2 linked regions of the Struthio camelus genome follow. The protein of the gene in region 2 purifies or fractionates together with the protein of the main gene of each other region. This does not show direct contact. Links are inferred from orthologs where the notes say so. Each region holds a gene or a part of one and is shown on either strand. Other genes may lie near its edges.

Region 1 (9,857 bases), on a different chromosome or scaffold from region 2:
GAGGTTAAGACAGGAAGAGAGAATAAAAGAGATTTTTGCCATCCTTTTAACTATGAGATTCAGCACTAATTGTAATTCCTCTGTAATTATCTAAAGATCGAAGAATGTTCTGATATGAGAGATCAGAACAACCCAACATTGCGAGAGGGAGACTGGGAACACGCACAGGACCTGGCAGCGGGTGGGAAGGATGGGTTCTTGCACAGCCTGGTGTGCCCAGACCAGAGAAGCAACTCTGCTTGGTGAGACTGTGGAGGGATAACTTTCAGAGACGCAGGCTCGCTTCCCAAGCTCCTAGCATGTAACTAAGTCACGTGGCCCCGATGACCATCTTCCCTTTCATGCTAGAGGAGATGAGGAAGGGCTTTGAGGAGAAATGGAACAAAACCTTCATATAATACACTCACAGCAGCAAAAACTTGGTTCTTGTTCAAACAGAGAATGCAGGAAGGCATCTACACTGTCTATGAGACTAGAGTATACCCAAAGCCAAGGTAACCTTAGCTATTGCTAGCAATAGCCTCCGAGTTCATGTGGATGCAACTTCTTGACTTCTTTTGCAAGCCATGCTGAATCAATGCTCTTGTGACTGGCTCCGAACTTCTTCAGGTATTTTAACTACTGATCCCCATTACTGGAGCACATGAACATCTCACGAGCTTGCATTCACCCTCCACCCAGAAAGAGTTTTCATCCTCTTCCTGTTGATGGGAAGCTGAGATGAAGGGAGGCTAAGTGACTTGCCACATGAGAGGCAGGAAATCAGTAGCACAGCAGCAAACAAGAGCCACATCTCTTAATCGTCTTGCTGTTTCAGATTCAAGGGTTACAGTTCGAGAATGAAAAAGACTATATCCCATTGCCGCAGCAGACAGCACATACCAAGGAAGACTATGACCTTTCAAAGATGTATTGTTTTTAAAGTAGGTTCCCTCCATCTGGGAAAATATTCTATTATCTGGAGGGGGAAGTAGGGGAGGAGGGAAGCACAAACTTGCATCAGAAAACACTTGATTCTCTGGCCAGTTTGTTGGATGTCAGTCCAGACCAAGAATAGTGGATCCAACTGACTGCATGATGTGTTTACTTTGCCACCTGCTTTCAGAGACAAGCCTATAAGTAAATGGCTGTTTTGAATGCTTTTGTGTGTCTACTGAACTTGCGGCAGAACCGTGTCACAGATGATGCTCTAAGAAGAAACTTTTCCCAGACTGCCAGTTCGTTAAAAGCTTGGGAACTTAGGATACTTTTCAATGACAGTATTTACATTCTGTTGCAAAACAAACACCGATTGTATTTCACATGCGTTCCTGGAAAAGAAGTCAACGGTATCTGCACACTGTCTCATTGCTCTTTAAAATCAGTTTGCGTCAGAGAGATCTTACGAGTCAGAAGAAACAGATTTGCAGACACTGGAGCAGTTCATGAACTCCCGAAGCTGCCCAGAGAGTTGTGTAAAGTTAACCGCGCAAAACAAAGAAGGTTTGCATACAAACTGCAGGAAGCAAAGACCTGCTGCTCTCCTGTTTCCCTTCCTCTCCCTAGGGGACTAATCACCACAGGGTCTTTTCTGCAGTGCTTTGGATGCTGTTTTCTATCTCCCAGTTTCTGTGAGGCAGCACAGAACTCCAGCCTGCATTTGTAACCCTTGGAGTGGGAATAGGGATAAATGCAGAGTTGAGGAGAGTCCCTGAAGTCCTTCGGATTCATGCACGGAAACCTAGGTAGAGTGCAGCCAATAAATAGTCAGGATTGGGCCTTTAGTAGCTGATCTGAGAAAGGTGCTTGGGGACCTCTTCCCTCACTGTTGAGGGGCAGGTTAACTGTACCACTTCTTAGGTCAGAAGAAAGGGAGAACATTGACTTCAACTGAAACAGACGGCTGAGCGGCCAGCAGAGGGCAAATACCTGTGTTAGAATTTAATTGGGACATCGTGGCTTTTTCAAAGTGTCACTGAGCTTTTCCTCAAGTAAAAACAGGAGAGCTCAGTGACATACTTCAGATAATAACGGCACGCCAGCTGCACTGCCTCTCTCACCCAACGGAGTTGTTTAGTAGTTACTCAGGAGGTAAAATGTTCCCAGCGTTGCTCCTTGGCTGCTGGAAGCTTTCCTCCGGGAACCACGCTGAGCGTGGGGAGGGCTGTGTTCAAGCAGGCATGCCTTGCAGATGTAAGTGGATTCCCTGACTGGTCTATCTTTAAGATGTGGGCACTTCAGGGCATGTTTTCTTGGCTCTTGGTTACTCTGTTTGAGACTTACCAGTCATTTTCTTCTTCAAAGTAACATACGGAAATGATCTGAGATCTGCTGCTCAAAGCAAACTTGTTCTGCACTGGAGATCCTTACGCAAAACTGTCTGCCCAACTGATGTGCAGCAGGACCAAAACTGGCTTCCACATACCACCTTTCAGGGTCCAAACACAGGTATTTTAGTCTACAGCAGGGGTCATGCTGGGGTTTGAGTGGGAAGCCCAGGCAATATCTGTCAGATTGTATGGTTATTGCTCACACCAATTCCTTGCTCTGTTCCTTTATCACTTAAATTCTTCTTCTCTTGCTCTTCTTCTTCTCATGTGGCAAAACTACAGATGTTGATTCCAGATTTATTTACAGTCAATCTCATCCAGAGACTCAAACTACAGGGCAAATATTGTGCATTGCTCTGCATTGTGTGGCAAGCACCATTTTTTTTCTCTGTGCATACAGGTAAACTGAAGCATCACACTGAAAGCTGTCAAGTTAACGCAGAGAGTCAAGTCCAGAGTTCAGGATGAAATCCAGAAGCCCTCACCAAGGCATCTACTGCTGAACTGTGTAACGTTTTGTCTGCTCATCTATGGGTTTTCCTATGGTCACACTATACTGTTTCAGTGGGACATGATGTGCAGCAGCAACAGACAGTTATTTTCTATGCTAGTTAAAGCTTAAACAAAACTACCAGAAGATATGCTCAAAGTATGCAGCGTAAACTCTACCTGTGAGCTTGCCGCCGTGCGCTGTCAGCTCACGGATTTTTCTTCCGCTGACTCCAGTAGATGTGGGTTGTAGGGCTGACGGCAGTTTCCGTTGGTAGAAGGAACCATTCTGTATCACCCAAGCTTTTTCACGTCCCCCTGAGGCAGCGCACACACAGCAGTTGATCGGATCAAGACAGAATTTTGCATGTTGTGCTGTCTCTTCAGACGATGCTTGTCTACTCAGGATGATAGATTTACATGATTTAACATGTAAAGCTCTGTGTGGGGGATAAACACAGGCTGCTTCAATCTGAGAGCTGTTTGATTCATTTGCTTTTAATCAGTGACTTCTCTGAGATGATGGTACTTCATTGGCAGAAAATGATACTCAGTTAGGGTGGTATCTTTAGTAGAAACACCCACTGTTGTAATTGCTGTGCAGCACTCCAGATACCGAGTGGCTCTGCTGGTTCTGCTGCCTCTAAAATAGCTATCAGGATCCTTTTTTTCTTCCTGCGTGCACACAGCAGGAGTAAACTTCCGTGCTCAAATTCCTCATCTTGACTCATATAACTTTCTCCTCCCTGAGGATGCAATTGTTCACACAGGTGTTTTTCCCAGCCTGGTGATCTATGCATTTTGCATTTTCCTTTCAGATGGAGCCATTGACTCCTCAGCCACTTCAGTGTCAAGCTATTCTTCGCATCCCTTTAACGCTGCTCCTTGTGCCCTCTCCCACGCCGTGCTTAACGTTTCATGTGCGGTCGTCTTACCTGGCTGCCTTGGCATGGACCTCCTTCCCCTTAGCTGACCCGCCATGCCAGGAGGCTCTCATTTACCTCCTTGATGAAGGCTGCAATGCTTCATGCTTGCAGGAGGATCCTGAGTCAGCCAGGCTCTCTGTGGGGTTTATATGATTGCATGGTGGTAAACAGAGTGGAAAGCCTTGACTTTTTCCTTCCTGGTGACCATTCCACAGCTTCTATTACAGTTTTTCAGAGTGTTGATAAATAGCACCATAAAAATTATAGTAATAAATTTAGTCATTGTGGGAACAGGGCTGATGGTAATGCAGGTTACTTGCTTAGGAATGTTTATTACTTAATTAGGACAGTTAAGGCTAGGGTTTGACTGTAATGCAGACCAAATGCAGTACGGTTTTGTTTGTTTTTAATTTTTCTCAAGTCTTTAAGAAGCAGCGTAAGGACTCACACGTGAATATGTACCAGCGTACGCTTACGGGGAGCGTGATTTAACTGTGACAGCAGATAAGTCACTGCTGACTCACGGGGAAGGAGCTGTGCAGAGCCAACGGGAGGGACCTCGCCTCACGTTGGCCTCGCAGGGCTCCTTTCGAAAGCCTGTCCCGCTCGCCTGGCCGCGCCGCTGCGTCACCGTCCGAGCTCCCTGGCTGCGGGGCTGAGCTCGGAGCACGGTACAACTGTATCCTGGTTTTCTTAACGCAAAAAATGTTGCAGAACAGGTTTTCCACGTGGGTCCGAACTTTGGCCCAGGCCCGGCAGATGGGATCTGTCCCCAAACCACAGGGCACATGTACAAACAGGGAGGAGCGAGATGGGACAACAGCAGACAGCTTGCAAAAGGGAAGGCAAGCAAGAAAAAGCGCATGGGGATCTGCAAACAGCATTCCCCCCCCCCAGTGTAGAGAAACTTCTAGTAGTTTTCAAATTATAGAGAGAAATATCGACGTACGACTAGAGGAGCAGGTAGATTTGGGGAGTGCCCTGTGCTCTGGTAGTCCTTCACGAATACGGATGATTCCTGGCAGTTAGTACTGAGTCGGATTCGATCTTTGCTCAAACCGCCAGTTTTTGGCTCAGCGTCAGCAAATCTCAGACCCGGGCGCCTAATTCGCCCCTAAGGGACCCGAAGCCGCCGCGCCGGCCTGCTGGCTCCGCGTGCGGCAGGCCGGAGCCGACTTCACCGGAATTTACCGCGTTTAGGGGGGATTTTCGTCACTCTGCGACACCGACCGCCCCCCCCCCCCCGCCCCGCAGGGGGGGTCCCAGGGCGGCAGGTGCCCGCGTCTCCCCTCAAAGCCCTCCCTGTCTCTGACGCCCTTCGCAGGCGGCCGCGCTCGCTTGGCCGCATCTCCTCCGCGCCCGCCGTGCCCTGTGGAGGGGACAAACGCGTTTATTGGGGTTCGCGAGTGTCACCCCCCCTTCCCCCCCCCCCGCCGCGCACCTCTGAGGCGCCTCAGGGCTGCGGCGGGCGCTGCCCCCTTCGGCAAGGGCGCCCCCGCGTGGCGGGCGCGGGTGGCGGGCGCGGCTCCGCCCCGGCGCCGGGCAGCTTTAAGGGAGGCGCCAAACCTCCGCCTCTCCTCAGCGGGCCGCGCCGCGCCGCGCGGCGCCTTTAAGGTTGCCGCGGCGACGGCTCTGGGCGAGAGCGAGGCGCATTGACGTCACGCCGCGCGGCCATTGGCTCGGCCAGCTGGTTTCCGGTGGGAGCTGCCGCCGCTGCTGCTGCCGTCGCCAAGGCCGAAGGCCGGGAGGGGTGGTGGGAGCCCGGCGGAGCCGCCGCCGCGCCGCGCGGTGAGTGGCGCCCGCCCGGCCCAGCCCGGGGGGCCGCGGCCTGGGGCGGCTCCATGTTGAGGGGAGCCGAGCTGAGCCGAGCCGGCGCCCCCTTCCTTCCCCCCCTCCCCGGGGCCTGCTCGAGGCCCGGCCGGGCTGCACCGGGCCCCAGGCGGCAGGAGAGGCCTCGCTGCGGGGGGCTCCCGCGGGGCCCTGTGCGGTGCCGAAAAAATACCCCCCCCCTCCCCGTCCCCTTCCCCAGCGGGGCTTGACCACTGCACGGCCGGGCCTCGGCGGCGCCGGCGGGGGGGGCTCGGCAGGGCTGGCCGGGCGGCCCCGGCGCCGCCGCGCGGGAGGGGCCTCTGGGGAGAACTTTGCTCCTGCGACAGGCAGGGGAGTTATTCGGCGAAGATGCCGTGTTCGTGGGGGTTTGTCACTTCTTTGGTGCTTACCGTGCTGGGCTCGCTCATCGCGCGGGCAGCAGCAGCTCGCGGCCGCTGCCTGTCAGCAGCGCGATGCAGCTTCACGCGGCTGTAGGTCGCTTTTTTGGTAGGTTGTAGTTTGTAGGCTGTCATGGAGCACCCGAGTTTCTCCGGGGCTGTTAATTAGTATTGACCTTGGCTGCGCGAGTTGCCAAAACAAAAGAAGTAACTGGAGAACTTTAAGGCCGCGTTTCAGTCCGTGCGAACTCCAAACTTGGTGTTTGTGCAATGCGTGATGCATCTGCGTCCCTGCATGCTTATGCAGGGATTAGATGTGACAAGAATGAAACCTCTTTGAAGTGTTAGCGATTTAGTATTAACTCTAGGCCTCTAGTAATCTCTAGTAGCATAATTCAGAGGGGCATAGCGTTGTACTTTCTATGTGGCCATGCGTGCTGTGTTTCTCAGCCTGCTGCCTGAATAGGATAAAATGCGTAATACAACTGTGCTACGTGACTTTTCAGTGGCTTGTCATCTCTCAAACTTATTTTGTCTGATTCTTTTTCACCCTTCAAAAGCTGATCCTGGGATCATCATATCTTACTGCCTATTCGTAGGTGTTGCCACAACCCTTATCCCAGGTAACTGTCTTTATATTTCATCAAAAATGCCCTGAGAAATTCTTTCCTGTTTCTTTAGCCATCTCAATGTTAGTTGTTTTGTGAAGAAAATTATGACTTGAAATGGATTTCTGTGTGTGTGTATATATAAATATATGCATGTATATATATGCACACACATATAAAACTATCATATGTATGTATATAACCTGAAAGATGAAAAAGAACTGCTTAAGCACATTTTTTTTTGAAATTTTTGTTTCTGACACTGTAATTTTAAAGTCTCCTGAAAACCTGACGTTGTAAGATATACGTTTAAATATGTACTCTTGATAACATACCTTCAACTGTAAGTATTGGGGGATTGCCATGTATTCACTGAAATGGATATGAAGCGTGGGCCAGGTTAAAGTATAGAAGCTTTTTAGGGGAAACACCTTTAATGCCTTAGTTTCCGTTAATGGGCACTGCTTGGGCATTTGGGGAACTGGCTTTGGCTTTGACCTTAATGTTTCTAATACTTCCAGTGCTTGCCTTTCTAATTCCCAGCTTCTCCTGACCTGTCTTTCGATTGTCATCCACCTGGCTCCATATAGAGCATACAGTTCTGTTTGTGATGTGACCTTCTCATCTGTGAAATCTTAGACTTAATCAGCAGAAAGCTTAGCTGGAAACCTCACTGATAAGCATCTTGTTCCTTGACTTTGAATGCTCACTGAACATAAATTGTTGAGGCCTTTACAGCTCAATTGCTTGCTTTCCCTCTTATGCTTGTGGAGTATTTTGTAAAGCACTCGAAATTCTTATTTCTTCCCTCATGTTAAATAAGCTTTTCTAGAAGCAAGATCAAACTGTGGGATTTAGTGTCTCTCTTACTGGATACTTCCTAGCTTTTTTCTCTTGTTGTTTAGCTGCTTTACTAGACTTGCAGATAAGAGATGACTTTATGCCGTGATGTTATTAAGATGATAATGCAGTGTAACTTTCTTTTTAGACAGCATGACATGCCTGACTGTATCAGGCAGCAGCATCTTCATTTCCATTGGTTTATTTAACCTTCTTTTTTCTCTTCAGCAATGGCAGCTTCTAGCAGCAGCAGCAGTGAGGAGGAGCGTAGTCTTCGAGAATGTGAACTCTATGTCCAAAAACACAACATCCAGCAACTTCTGAAGGATTGCATTGTGCAGTTATGTACAGTGCGACCTGAAAGACCCATGGGATTCCTCAGGGAATACTTTGAAAGATTGGAGAAGGTAAAAATAAGTGCTGGAGGGGAAGGAGAATGGAGCAACCTAAATTTACAACCTTTCTATGGAATTTTAGAGGCTGACCTTCAGATACGACCAGTGTTCATATTGATTGTTTGAAATTGGAACTAAGGGAAAGCTTTTGTCAAACAAGTCTTACTTTCCATAATTTTTACCAGTTGATCATGGTTTTAAAGCATTTCTGTAATAACAAAACATGTATGGCAAAATAGAAACTGAGGAAGAAATTTATCTAGCTTAGATGCAGATATAATCCCAATCTAGTGCTTCCTCTTAGAAGCTAATAGATAGGATATACTGTTCTTTCTGCAGTCCAGTGATAACTGTGGTGTATTCATCCAGCAGATGCTGGCAGTAGGCTTTTGGTTTATTATATTGAGAAAAATTATTTACAATGATTTAGGTGTAGCACAGAAGTAGGCTAGTGATATTTATCCAGACCTACCTGAAATCGAATTGAAATACTTGTATTTCAGCTTTCCAGGAGAGCAAGCCAGTTCCTGCCTTCTTTCAGTAGCTCGGTGTTGGTGTGTTTTGTTTGTTGTTCTTGCCGCATTTGTCTTCGAGGTGCCTTTGACTGTTTTTGCTGTGAAGTTGGTAGAAACATTCTGGGATCTTGAGGATGGAAAGCATTTTTGTCAATATAAGATAGGCATCTCAATGCTCGCATTTGAAACAATGATTTTATGTTCATTTGAACAATTAATTTTAAATTCCAATATCTAAGCAGACAGGAAAAGAAGCTGTTGTGAAAAATGTGAGGTTTTTCAAGACTAATACAGAGAAAACGGACTAATACAGACTAGTTGTATCTAACTACTGTATTCAGACTATATCACTAGTAAATAAGGTAACTGTGGCCTTATACAGCAGTCACTTGTAGGTACTCCTTTCAGTACTTTTATGCCAGGTATATGTTTGTCTTTTGTTTTAGGTAGGAATTAACAGAGATCAGAAGTATGTGTTGTGAAAAGGTTCTTGTAATGGTTGGAAAAATGAGCAGATGCTGCAGATTTACCTTACATAGTGTTTTTTGGTTTTGTTTTTTAAAATGACATCCTGAAAAAACTCTTTCAGAATACTAGCAGCAAACTAGATCCTAATAGGGTTTTTAAAATCAATTGTCCCTTCCTGTTGCCCTGCTTCCTTTCCTAGCATAGATTTTCAAGTTTCTAAGCACTGACAGATTTTAAAGGTTTGTATACCAACACTTGTGGTGTTATTGCTTTAAAAATTATCAAAGTTAATTACCTTACTGCCCATGGAATAAATTGTAAGCTAATCCATGTGTGAGCTTATAAAATGGGAGTAGTCATCTTTTTCCTTTAGTGGACTGACATGCAACATGTAATATTTAATCTTGAAACTTAGTTTGTCTTTAGGAAGAGGACAAACCTAGCTCTGGACTTGGTTGTTGGTATTTCAGAGTTGAATAACTCAAGCATGTTTTTTTATGGTGCAAATAGCTGTCTGTCAGCTCTGTCGGCCTACAAGAAAGCTGAAAATAAAAATGGTTAGGTAACTTTTTTGCTTGCAAATTACTCTTATAGTTTTGATCAAGGTCTCTCGTTATCAGGTATATTGGCATAGGTTATGCACATGCACTAATGCAGTTGTATCTACAAGGGAAAGCACAGCATTTCTCTTACCTTTTTGAATTAAAAAAAAATCTCTGTAGCTTGCTTTTTTGATGTAGTTTTGCCTTCCAGTCTAATGGATTGGTCTTCATTTAGCCAGGTAGGATAGTACCTTAATAGCTGTGAAATAACAGAGCAGTGGACATCCTGTGCTACGTGAATGAACTTTGACATCTCTATCTGAAAAGCACAAATGCTAAGTGCTATTATTAACCAGCTCTACCCCAGTACTCTGGTTGAGCAAAAAATGTTTGGATTTGTCTCTTTCAGCTTCCATAGGTAATGTCTGTTACATCTTTAACGAAACAGCACTGCTTTTCAGTGTACCTTCTGAATCTGTTACACTGAATGAGACTGGGGCTGAGATACAGTGTGGTGGGTGTTTTTGACTGAATTTTGAAGTTTTCATTTAAAACTGG
Region 2 (10,188 bases):
TGTTTATCCTTGACTCAGCACCAGAACTATTTTGTTTTCTCTGCATCCTGTCCCTGTAGTACTTGAGTTATGGAGGTTCTCTCCACCACCTATAGCATCCCATCCAATAAAATAAAGAACAGTAACTTCAGAGAAATCTAAAAGTTCCCATTTTTCCAACACTACAACACAAAACAGAACAAAAATCTGAAAGGTTTTTTTTTATGCATAAAACTTATCCATCTTCAAAAGCATAACAGTCTAATCATCTGAAAAATACCAAAACTAACTGGAAAGAAAGCGAAAGCACTGATAGAAAAGATTGCCTGGAAATAGTTCACATCTTACAAATAATACTCACTGTTTAAAATTATTTTTATTTCTTCATGCTGTATTTGACCATTAAATTTCATTTCCTCCTACTGTAAACTTCACAAGAAATGGGGGAATAAATGGCAAAAGTCTCGGATGCCAGAGCAACAGAACTTTTCTGTTTCTGAAAAAATATCAGCCAAAGGCAGACATTCAAAAAAGGGGGGAAAAAAAAGAAAAGAACTTGATTGTGGGAATTGCCAATACCCGCACTAAACTAAGGAACAAGGAATACACATTTAGTTAGCTTTTCAGATCTCATTAGGTAACACGCAAAATTCACTAGTGAAATCAACGCCAATAATTCAATAGGAACGTTGCCCTGGTTTTCAATTTTTTACATAAATTTATTAAAAGTCAGCGTGCGCTTACAAACATTAACTGACACAGAAAGAAAGTTTATGTTATGTCTGTAAAGGGCAAATGTGCTAAGTAAATCTTTGAAATAGCTGTGCACATATACATGTCTATGTTTAAAGGTATACTAGCATATTTAAGAATTTGAATTGTATATCTGATAAATTTGAACTATATGTAATATATTCCATTCTTATTAAATTAAGTTCCAACAGACATTCTAGTTGAGGACAACAGTATATCTATGCTTTTGTTTCAAAACATATTTTTGCTGTAGTATTGTTCAAGGAGGGGGGGAGGGGAAGAAGAGACCTTCCTTTTAAAGCAAAGTACTTTTTGTGCCTTCAACACAATGACCTAAAGCAGCCAAAAGAACTTGGCTGACAATTTCCAAAAGCCAGGCTTAATCAAAAGCTGAGCTTGGAGACATTCATTCCAAACATTAAATTTCTTTTTTTTTTTTTTTTTTAAAACAACATGCACTCCTTTGTAACTTTAACAAAGTAAATGCTATTGAAAACCAACTTAAACAATCTGGTACTGACAAATCGACAGAATAGTCTGATAGATGCTTTTCCATTTCTTATTTCTAATAATTTATCACTTTCGCTAACGTGGTTGGCAGTTTTGAAAAAGCCTATTTATAAAAACGTCAAGTTGTCTTGAACGTACCTATATCCACACTAAGAAAAGGTGGAACAAATTCAGTTCATGTCAGTGAGCATTACTGACAATTCTGAAACACTGAATTTTCTTTTTCTTGTTTGCTTCTAGTTGTTTTACATTGAATTCTTGTTACATCGGATGCATGACGTGAATAATAAGCTTCACTACTTTCAAAAGAATTCTTAATTTTCTCTGATTAGTTCATTGCTAAAAATATTTTTCCAGCATTAAGTAAAACATAAATTAAAGTCTAAATGACTTTGTTTTTTGGTCAGAACTACATGTGCCTCAATTCATTAACTGCATCTTTTGAAATACTTCAGAACACATTCCAATTAAAAGTATGCTTGTTACTATGCTCATAAGGTCTAAAAATAGAGCACTGTTGTTCATCAATTGTACACTAAGATCTACCTGAAGATTTGGCTCAAATATTTTCTTTATAAAAAGACCTCCATTCCCTTTTGGTTCACTGATTCCACTCTTACAGTGGTATTGCCAGCATACTGCATCACTGTCTTTAGCCTTCTTTTTGTAAAAAAGATTTTCAACATTCAATTATTAAAACAGGCAATCATTTCAAAAAAAAAAAAAAAAAAAAAGGGCAGCCATTTGTTCCAGAATATATGGCTGAAAAATCTGGAAAATTTGCAGTTTTCCATCTACCCTGAATTGAACCTCTTTGTTATTTTTAAAAAAGTTGGATAAGCAACTACCACAGAAAATTGTCTCTTTTAATACTGCTACAGTATAATGATAAACATTTCACATTTTATCATAAAATAACTACACCATAGAATGTTATAGAAAATATTAACATTTCTCACGCTGTATCTTCTCCAAAACTTGAAAAATAAACTCTTTCACTATAGTAAACAGCAAGTACTCATCTTTTCCCTGTGCAAGTTGACTCAATATTAAAATGATTTTTATTTACTTTCTAATTGCATATCAGCAACACAGATGGCATCAGAGCCATAAAAATAGCACTAATCAGTTGAATGCCACTGTAGCAACACTAAAGAACCATAGAATCATTCCCTTTCCTTCACCCTTCAAAAAACCTTTTACTGTTTTTCACTTTTCCTCCCTACTACACAAGGAGGACTTTAAACAAAAGGGATATTTGCTTTTGTTCACCTAAAGGAAACATTTTTAAGCCACTACAGGGAAAAAAAAAATCAAATTAAATATCATCTAAGCAAGCAGACCTCTCAACTGTTAGAACACCAGAAAACCTTTTAAAGCATAAAGAACACCTGTTAAAACATAAGAAACTTTTTGGGAGGCGGGGTGAATTCTCAAATATAGCCTTTAAGAAAAATATTACCTAACATACCAAAAACACCCATTAGTCTAGACTTTGGGGGTTATGCAATTAACTTCATGTTTTTGCACTTTATTCTGTTGTGTAACACAACACAGCTAAACTTTCTTTTTTTAAAATGATTGTGTAAGTAACAGCATTTCAATAGTAGCATTACATTTTTCAAGCAATCTTATTTCCCCTGGAGAAGCACTTTGCCAGAGAATACCCTGTTTAGGAGGGTCTTTTTAATACTGTAACATACCAAATGATTAACAGGAAGAGGGAATAATCTAATTTATTTTTATTATTTTTCCATACTGTGCAAGACTTTCCATTGCTATACTCTTCCAACTGTCAATATATTTTAAAGAATCTACAAAGGATAAAAAAAAATATTATCATTTATCAGAAAAGACAGCACAATTTCATTACTAAGTCTCAAAAAGTCACCTTGCCTGCTCATGGATGAAGACCAAGGAATTTGCCTGGACAAATGGGACCAGCACTATTTATAAATAGGTAATTTCTCAAGAATTAATACTAACAGTATCTCTCACAAGACTAAAGACTAACTGTATAATTATGAAATAAACTTTCAACCCAAGTAAGACTGTCTTTCCAACTCTAATATGGACAACTTAAGTGCACTGTGCTACCATTGATTTTATTACTATTGATCTTTCCCAGACAAAATAAAACTTATTTTTCACCCTATTTCATAGTGATTTATTTGCACTGCAATAATATCTCAAGGCTTCAATGCGAATCTTATTGCACAGGATCTACAGCCGCAGTTCATAACCTTTTTTTTTTTTAAATAGATATTAGGGAAAACCACAGAAACCTACAGAAAGAAGTAACTTCATTAGACATAGAGAGAGCTGCACAGAAGAGCGAAGAAAGCGAACGCACAACACTCCCTCCCCCTCTCTTCAGCAAGGAAAGGAATTGGGAGAAGGATGGGGAAGGGGAAAAAGAAAAGCCACTTTTAAAATGCTAAACGCCGAGGACGAGGTGAACTTATTGAACCCGTGTGCATCAACCACGAAACAAGCCACTAGGCAGCCGAGACGGCCTCCGCCGAGCGGGCTAGCGGACTTCCCCGGCCGGCAGGCCTCCGGCGCAGCCCGCCGCGCCCCGCTGCGCAGCCCACACGGAGGGGGGTCGCCAACACCGCCCCGCCGCCACCGCGGCCCAGGGCGCTGCGCTCCCCTCAGGTAGGCGCGCTGCTCCCACCGCGGGCGCAGGGAAGCGCCGGGCCGGTGAAGAAGCGCCATGCCCGAGGCCAGGCAGAGCCCGCCGGGGAGGAGCCAGCAGCGGCGCACCCCCGGCTCTGCTCCCCGCAGGTGCGGGGGGAGGGGAGCGCGGAGAAGGGGCAGAGCATCCTCACCTCCCTGCCCCGCCGGGAGCCACCTGTGGGGACGAGCCCCCGCCGCCCGGCAGGCCGGGAGCCAGCGCTGCCCCGCCGCCGCCGCCGCCCCGCCCTCAACGGCTCCCCCAGCCTCGCGCACGGACGGAAGCAACGGCCGCCTCGCCCCCCGCCGCCAAAAGGGGGGCGGTGGGGGAGGGAAGAGGGCAGGGGGGAAGAAGAGCGGGCGCCCCGTACCTGACTGCCTCCTCAGCATCCGGCGCCCGCAGCCATTTCGCCTCCTAAAGCAACAGAGCGAACACCCAGCTCGGCCCCGTCGTCGCCCGCCCGCCCGCCCGCCCCCGTTACCGCCGCAGCCCCCCGCCGCCGCCTCCCCCCGCCCCCCCTCCGCGCTCTCGGCGCGCGTGCGTGCCGCTCTCGCGACGATTCTCCGCCCCCCACCCAGCACCCACCGCAGTCTCGCGCGCGCCCCCCCCCCCGCAGGAGGGAGGGCGTCACGTGGCGGCTCCCGCCGCGTCCTCATTGGCCGCCAAAGCGGGAATTCGAAGGAATCCTGGGAAGGAGGAGGAGGAGGAGGATGCGCTCGCCAGCGCCCCGCCCCGCCCCTCAGCGTGGGGGTGCGCGCGCCGCCCCCGCCCGTTATAGGCGTTACTCGCCCGGTAACGGGTGTGTGTTCCATCTTCTCTACTTAGGAGCTGCGTTTTACGCGCCTTCTCCTGGCAAAGTTAGGAACAAAACGCACCTCGTGTCTGGCCCAGGCCACCTGTCCCGTCTGCCCCTCCAGGCCTCGACAGGCGCCTTCTCTGAGGGGGATGCTGCGAGGTGGCTGGTGCTGCTGCTGCCAGCCGAAGAGCCTCCGTGGCCAGTGCTGCTTCGTCCCATCCACAGAAGTGACGGTACAGTCACGACCAGTGTCTTCCCTGCAGCAAGAAGCATGGCATGGCATGGTGTGAGGCTACTGCCCTTCCCTCAGCACCTGGCGTGGCAGCTGCAGCCTTTGCACAGCCCTTGAAAAGTTGCGTGAGAAGCAGGATGCCAAACTCTGTCCTCCAAGGCATTCGGGAGACCTGCCAGGTGGGTCTTTCCTGCCTAGTCAGTCTGGACTTAAGAGTTGCCCCCTGGTTGCATGCAAAAACCTCTCACGCAAGGCTTGGCTTGCCACCTGGCTGGCTGGCTCAGCAGGGCAGATGGGTTAGAGGCTAAATCTGGTTTTAGTCACACAAGGCACAGAGAGCAGACTCTCAAACTCTGCCTGAAGCCCCCGAGCATTTCTTTCTTTCCCATCCCCTTTTTAAACTCAGTGTTACCGGGTTCCTCAAAAATTTAGACGTGAAAAGATACGCCATCAATACGCAATCTATTTTCAAGTTGAGCTATGATAGTGATGAGTATTTAACAGTGCGTGCTGTTGGAGCATTGCATTTCTTTCTGTCTGCATAGAAGCAGTGATCTAATAAAAGCTCATGCAGCTTCCCAACATTGCTCCATTACAGCACCAGCTCTGTCAGACACTAACATGGCAACAGCAAAGGAGGAAACAAACCAGAAAGTCTGTTGACTGCAGTGGATTCTCTGCACTACCCGTCAGCTGTGGATAGTCTACCGCTGTAGGCTAACAGTTCTGTCCTTCCCTCAAAAAAAGACACTCCCAAAATCCAGACAAGTCTTTCTGAGGCTCAGCATGTAAGAGTGAAACTAAGGAAGGGGAACAACAGAACCAGAATTCCACTGTAACTAGAAACTCATGCTAGGTGGCATGGGATTGCAACAACTTTTCCAGGTCAGAAAAGAAAGAGCCCCCACAGCTGTTTTTAGCACGAATCCAAAACTTTATATACTGGCAGAAAAGGAAAGAAAACAGATGCTAGCCTTGTAGCTTTTATGAGCTAAGGATTTCAAAGTGTGACCCATCTGCTTCACAGAAAGAGACAAAGACAGAGAGACTATGCTGACTTCCTACTAAGTTGTGTTTATCTCTTCTTCCACTACTACCTGAGCCCTATAAAAAGACAGTGAGAGTGTGTTCTTGCCACAAACAAACGAACCCTGTTTGCTATTGGATGTCCATAACTTTTTCCACGCGATTCCTGGCTTCTGTTTTTACTTAAGCCTTAACTTTTACTTCTGTTTAGTCCTTGATAATTTGCTCTTTCTGGGCTTCATAATCATTTTAGCCACTTCAGAAGTCAGGATGCGTATTCACTTATTCATATTATCAACAGAGAAACTTAATTTTAATTTGTCCTAAAAACTAATAAGCTATGGGGCAAAGCGTGCAAACCATGTAGGCTAGATAGATAAAAGAATCAAAGGATCACTGGTTCTAAAACGCTAGTAAAGTGGGTCGAACAAAAGGTTTCTCTTATTCCCAGGGACTACAGATCCCTATGGGATGGGGAGAAAGTAAATGAGTAATTGAATTAAATTTAACTCAGGTGTGTCATCATTTCAGTGCTCGTTGAGACCATGCTATTTTATAAATTCACTGTCCTTTAAGTAAGGAAATTGTAACAGTTTTGCAGGTCTTTGGTGCCTTTGTTGACCAACTCCTTGGTTCAAGGTACCTTTCAGTTTTCATAAAAACTAAAAATTCTGTAGAAGGGTTTTGTTTTTGTTTTTCATATATCAAGACTTACTGTAAGTAAAAGTGTTCCAAAACAAAATAGATCTGGAAACAACATAAACATGAGAAAGAATGCTTTAAAAATAAATTCAAGCCCATTCTTCCCTTTGGTCTATAATTCCCCTTAGACTATTCAGAATAATGATTTCCTATGGTTCTCTGCCAAAGCCTTGAAAAAAAATCAAGATTTAACCTCATCCGGAAACTATGAAACATAACCCACAGCACACCATTGTTTGTCAGAAAAGTGTTTTTATATACAATATTAAAAATGGAAATAGCTTTAGAATAGCGGTTGTTTTTTTACAACTGATTTAAATACTGCCTGTGTAAATGTATAGGAATATTAGCTGGTGAGTCAACACTTCTTAAAATGCATATTAATTATGAAGAAATAGAGTGTCAGTTTCTGCGCTCTGGTAATCTGTGTCCTGTAGAGCACACGTTAGTCTTACATTTTTCATAAACTTTGGGGTGGGCAGGTGGAACAGGGGGGAGTTTCACAGACAGCAAATTCAAAAGTTGAGGGTCATTAATAAAGCAGATATCTAGTGGAATATATGATCGAAAGAGCAGCATTCCCTTATAGTGAAAATACTGAAATGAAAGGTGAAGAATAATGAAGCACTTTTTTCAACTAATGCATTTTCCTACTCAATACACAAGTATAGGTAGATAAACCCAAAGCATACATATCTAACATAGATTTGACAGGAATCAGACTTATCCAGGGGACTGATATAATGGAACATAGTTTTTATTTGTCTCATTAGTTACCACAGGAGCATTTCCATGTTTCAGGAGGGGTATACCTGATGGGGATATATCGGGTTGTCCAGGGGCTGCCATGGTTGTATTGTCAGGAAAGTTTGGTTGTTTGCCAAAAGCGGGTGTGTAAAACTTCACTGCTAGTAGGAGAATATGGACCTTGCCTAGCAACAACATCCGTTACCAGGCCCTATGAAAGTGAGTAAACACAAGCTGGACTTAATGGTAACTTTTCAGGATGCAGAAGAGTTGGTAGTAGGATCCCTCAGGAATCAGGGCAGGGACCAGTTTTATTCATCTTCATCCAAAGCAGGGAGTGCGGAGTGAAATGTCCAGGGTTGAGGATGCTACTAAATTCTTCGGGGCAGGCAAATTCCATGCCAATAGCAAGGAATATGCTCACCACAAATAATATCTCTTTTAGCACTAATCAGAGATGGAATAGTGAGTTAGATGGAGCCTTTTTGCTGATCCAGTGGGGCTTCTCTTAATGTTTTGGGTTGGTTTTTGTCCCATTTTCTTTTTCAGGTGAGGAATACATAAAACTTTTCTGGATATACTTCCAAGTTTCAACATCTTTCTTTTTATCTTTTGTAACCATATGCTGTAGGTGTTAAATGGTTATATGGAATACTGCCCTCATGAGTTTCTAAGGATGGAATGCTATTAGAAAGTTCATAAACTATTTAAAGGGATATTTTCTGATTCTATAAGTTGTATACTTCTCTTTTAAGGTAACAGAATATTTCTAACAAGTTATAATTTGATCTGCAACATGACAGAAATGAATGCAAGATAGATTGTGATTTACCCCTGGACATTGCTGCGGTTTTGTCATGTAGACACTTGCAGTGTTTTCTGCTCTTTCTGTATCAAAAACATATTGAGCTGTACCTTTAGAATCTTTTCTAGCAGAAATATTATTGTGTCACTGGTACTATCGTGAGTGACTATCTGCACCTGTCTAATAAGCTTGATATTTTCAGTGTAACTGGCTTAGCGCAACTTGTTGAATGTCTAGCTCAGACTGACTTGTTTGTCATCTCTCTAACATACTCAATGCCAGTTCTATAAAAGGAGATGAAGCACTAATCTGTGATTATATGGCAGTTTTCCATTCATTTTCTTATTGGTCTCAGGCTAATATTTTTTTCTTTGTACAGGAAAGCTACGTAGTTGCATAGTTCAGTCAGTGGTTTTTTTTGATGGCACCATCTTTGAAGAATGTCCCTCTATACCTAAAGCTTTATGATGTCCAAGCAAGACTTTAAATTGCATCCTATAAACTACACTGATGTAGTAATATGTAGTAATTTGCCTGCCCAAAGGCAGATAGACAGTTTATAGTCTTGCCATGCCTACCTTTAACTAGAGACATAGCATGCATTTCTTGAAAGCCTGGATAAGCCTTTCCATTGATCCTCTTGTGGCAAGCTGGGAAGGATCTGCCATGCTAGATACTACTTTTCCCCCCAATCTAAAGTTTGTCTGATGTGAACTAATGATACAATTTCTTGAATGTCTTTTTTGTGGCCTCTTTCTTTATAACATAGCTTTCTGCCTCTCAGCCTCAGCTACCTGCTTCTGCATCTGCACTGCTTCTGGACTGTGCCAGCATGAACATCTGTGAAATCAAGCAGTAAATGAGATTGGGCTGAGAAGGCTAGAAAACAATCTGCTTTTCTTCTTTTTTGCTGATCCTGTTCACCAACATAATAAATTTGTCAGCATGGCACTGGGGTTAGACACAGAGACAACTGATAACAGACACAGTTTAAATTGGCTTGTTCTGCCACCAAGTGCATACCCATGTGTTGACTTGCGTTGCCATTTAAATCCTGCTCAGTGTCTCATTGAAAATGATACTCTTAACACACCTATGAACTAAAAACCCGGAACTCTTTGAGTGTATAATTTTATTAGTCATCCTGACGTTAACCTTTGGCCGGTGCTGGACCATGATATTTGTCTCTGTCAAGGGTTCAGTTTATGGCATTTATAACAACATCTTCTGGTTTCTTTTCACTGAACATTGCACAATCTGTTGTTCCCAATGACATGTTTGAGAAGTAATCTTTATTTGCATGTTCATGAGTATTTTAGCTCACTGTTTTAACAGTGAGAATCTAATCATCGTTATATAAATATGAAAAACTATATTACAACTATTCTTGGTTTTTCTCATCCGTGACTTGAAAACTGAAACGGGAGTTGGATGATCTGTAACGTAAGTAAATTATCTTCCAAAACAATATACATAAAAGATGTAATCCACAGACTATATTCAGAATTTATCTGTCAGTTGGCCAGTTATGTCCTGCTGACAAGTGAATTCTAAGAGACATCTTAATAAGCCTTTTGATACAAAATGGGAAGCATCACAGATGGACTTTATAAAAAGGTGCATTGTACTGCATAGAGAGAGTTTCAGATGCTACAAGATTCTTATCCAATGCCTTAAAAACACTATCTAGATTAACATAATTTCTGTGCGTCGTATTTACTTAAAGGGTGTGATAACACCATCGCTTTGTAACACAAGAGTGTACGATAATAACTAGAGCTGGCTAGGAAGTGAAATTTTTATTCTACAGGAAATTCCAGCTTGTCAATATTTTGTTTCATTGAGCACTGGAACAAAACACATTGGCTGGGCTGCCTTACTGGCAAAAAATGGAACAATCTATTTCTTTGCCAGCTGACATGTCTGGGGAGCCAAGAAACCAACTGAGCAGTCGGCAAATT

Evidence for each region. Proteins that work in one complex are often made in the same cells at the same time.
Region 1: the proteins of AKAP11 (region 2) and PRKAR1A purify together in Homo sapiens (affinity purification with mass spectrometry; 3 studies listed by BioGRID and IntAct, counting the BioPlex papers as one, with this or other methods). This does not show direct contact. The link is inferred for Struthio camelus from reciprocal best matches to the Homo sapiens genes AKAP11 and PRKAR1A.

Annotation. Positions count from the first base shown.
Region 1 is NC_090960.1:3,399,934-3,409,790, reverse strand, and holds the start of PRKAR1A (cAMP-dependent protein kinase type I-alpha regulatory subunit), read left to right. Parts: upstream 1-5,860; 5' UTR 5,861-6,006; coding exon 6,007-6,040; intron 6,041-6,491; coding exon 6,492-6,554; intron 6,555-7,607; coding exon 7,608-7,786; intron 7,787-9,857. UniProt on the Homo sapiens protein: Regulatory subunit of the cAMP-dependent protein kinases involved in cAMP signaling in cells.
Region 2 is NC_090942.1:189,551,501-189,561,688, reverse strand, and holds the start of AKAP11 (A-kinase anchor protein 11), read right to left. Parts: upstream 4,589-10,188; 5' UTR 4,505-4,588; intron 4,434-4,504; exon of another isoform or gene 4,290-4,433; intron 1-4,289. UniProt on the Homo sapiens protein: Binds to type II regulatory subunits of protein kinase A and anchors/targets them.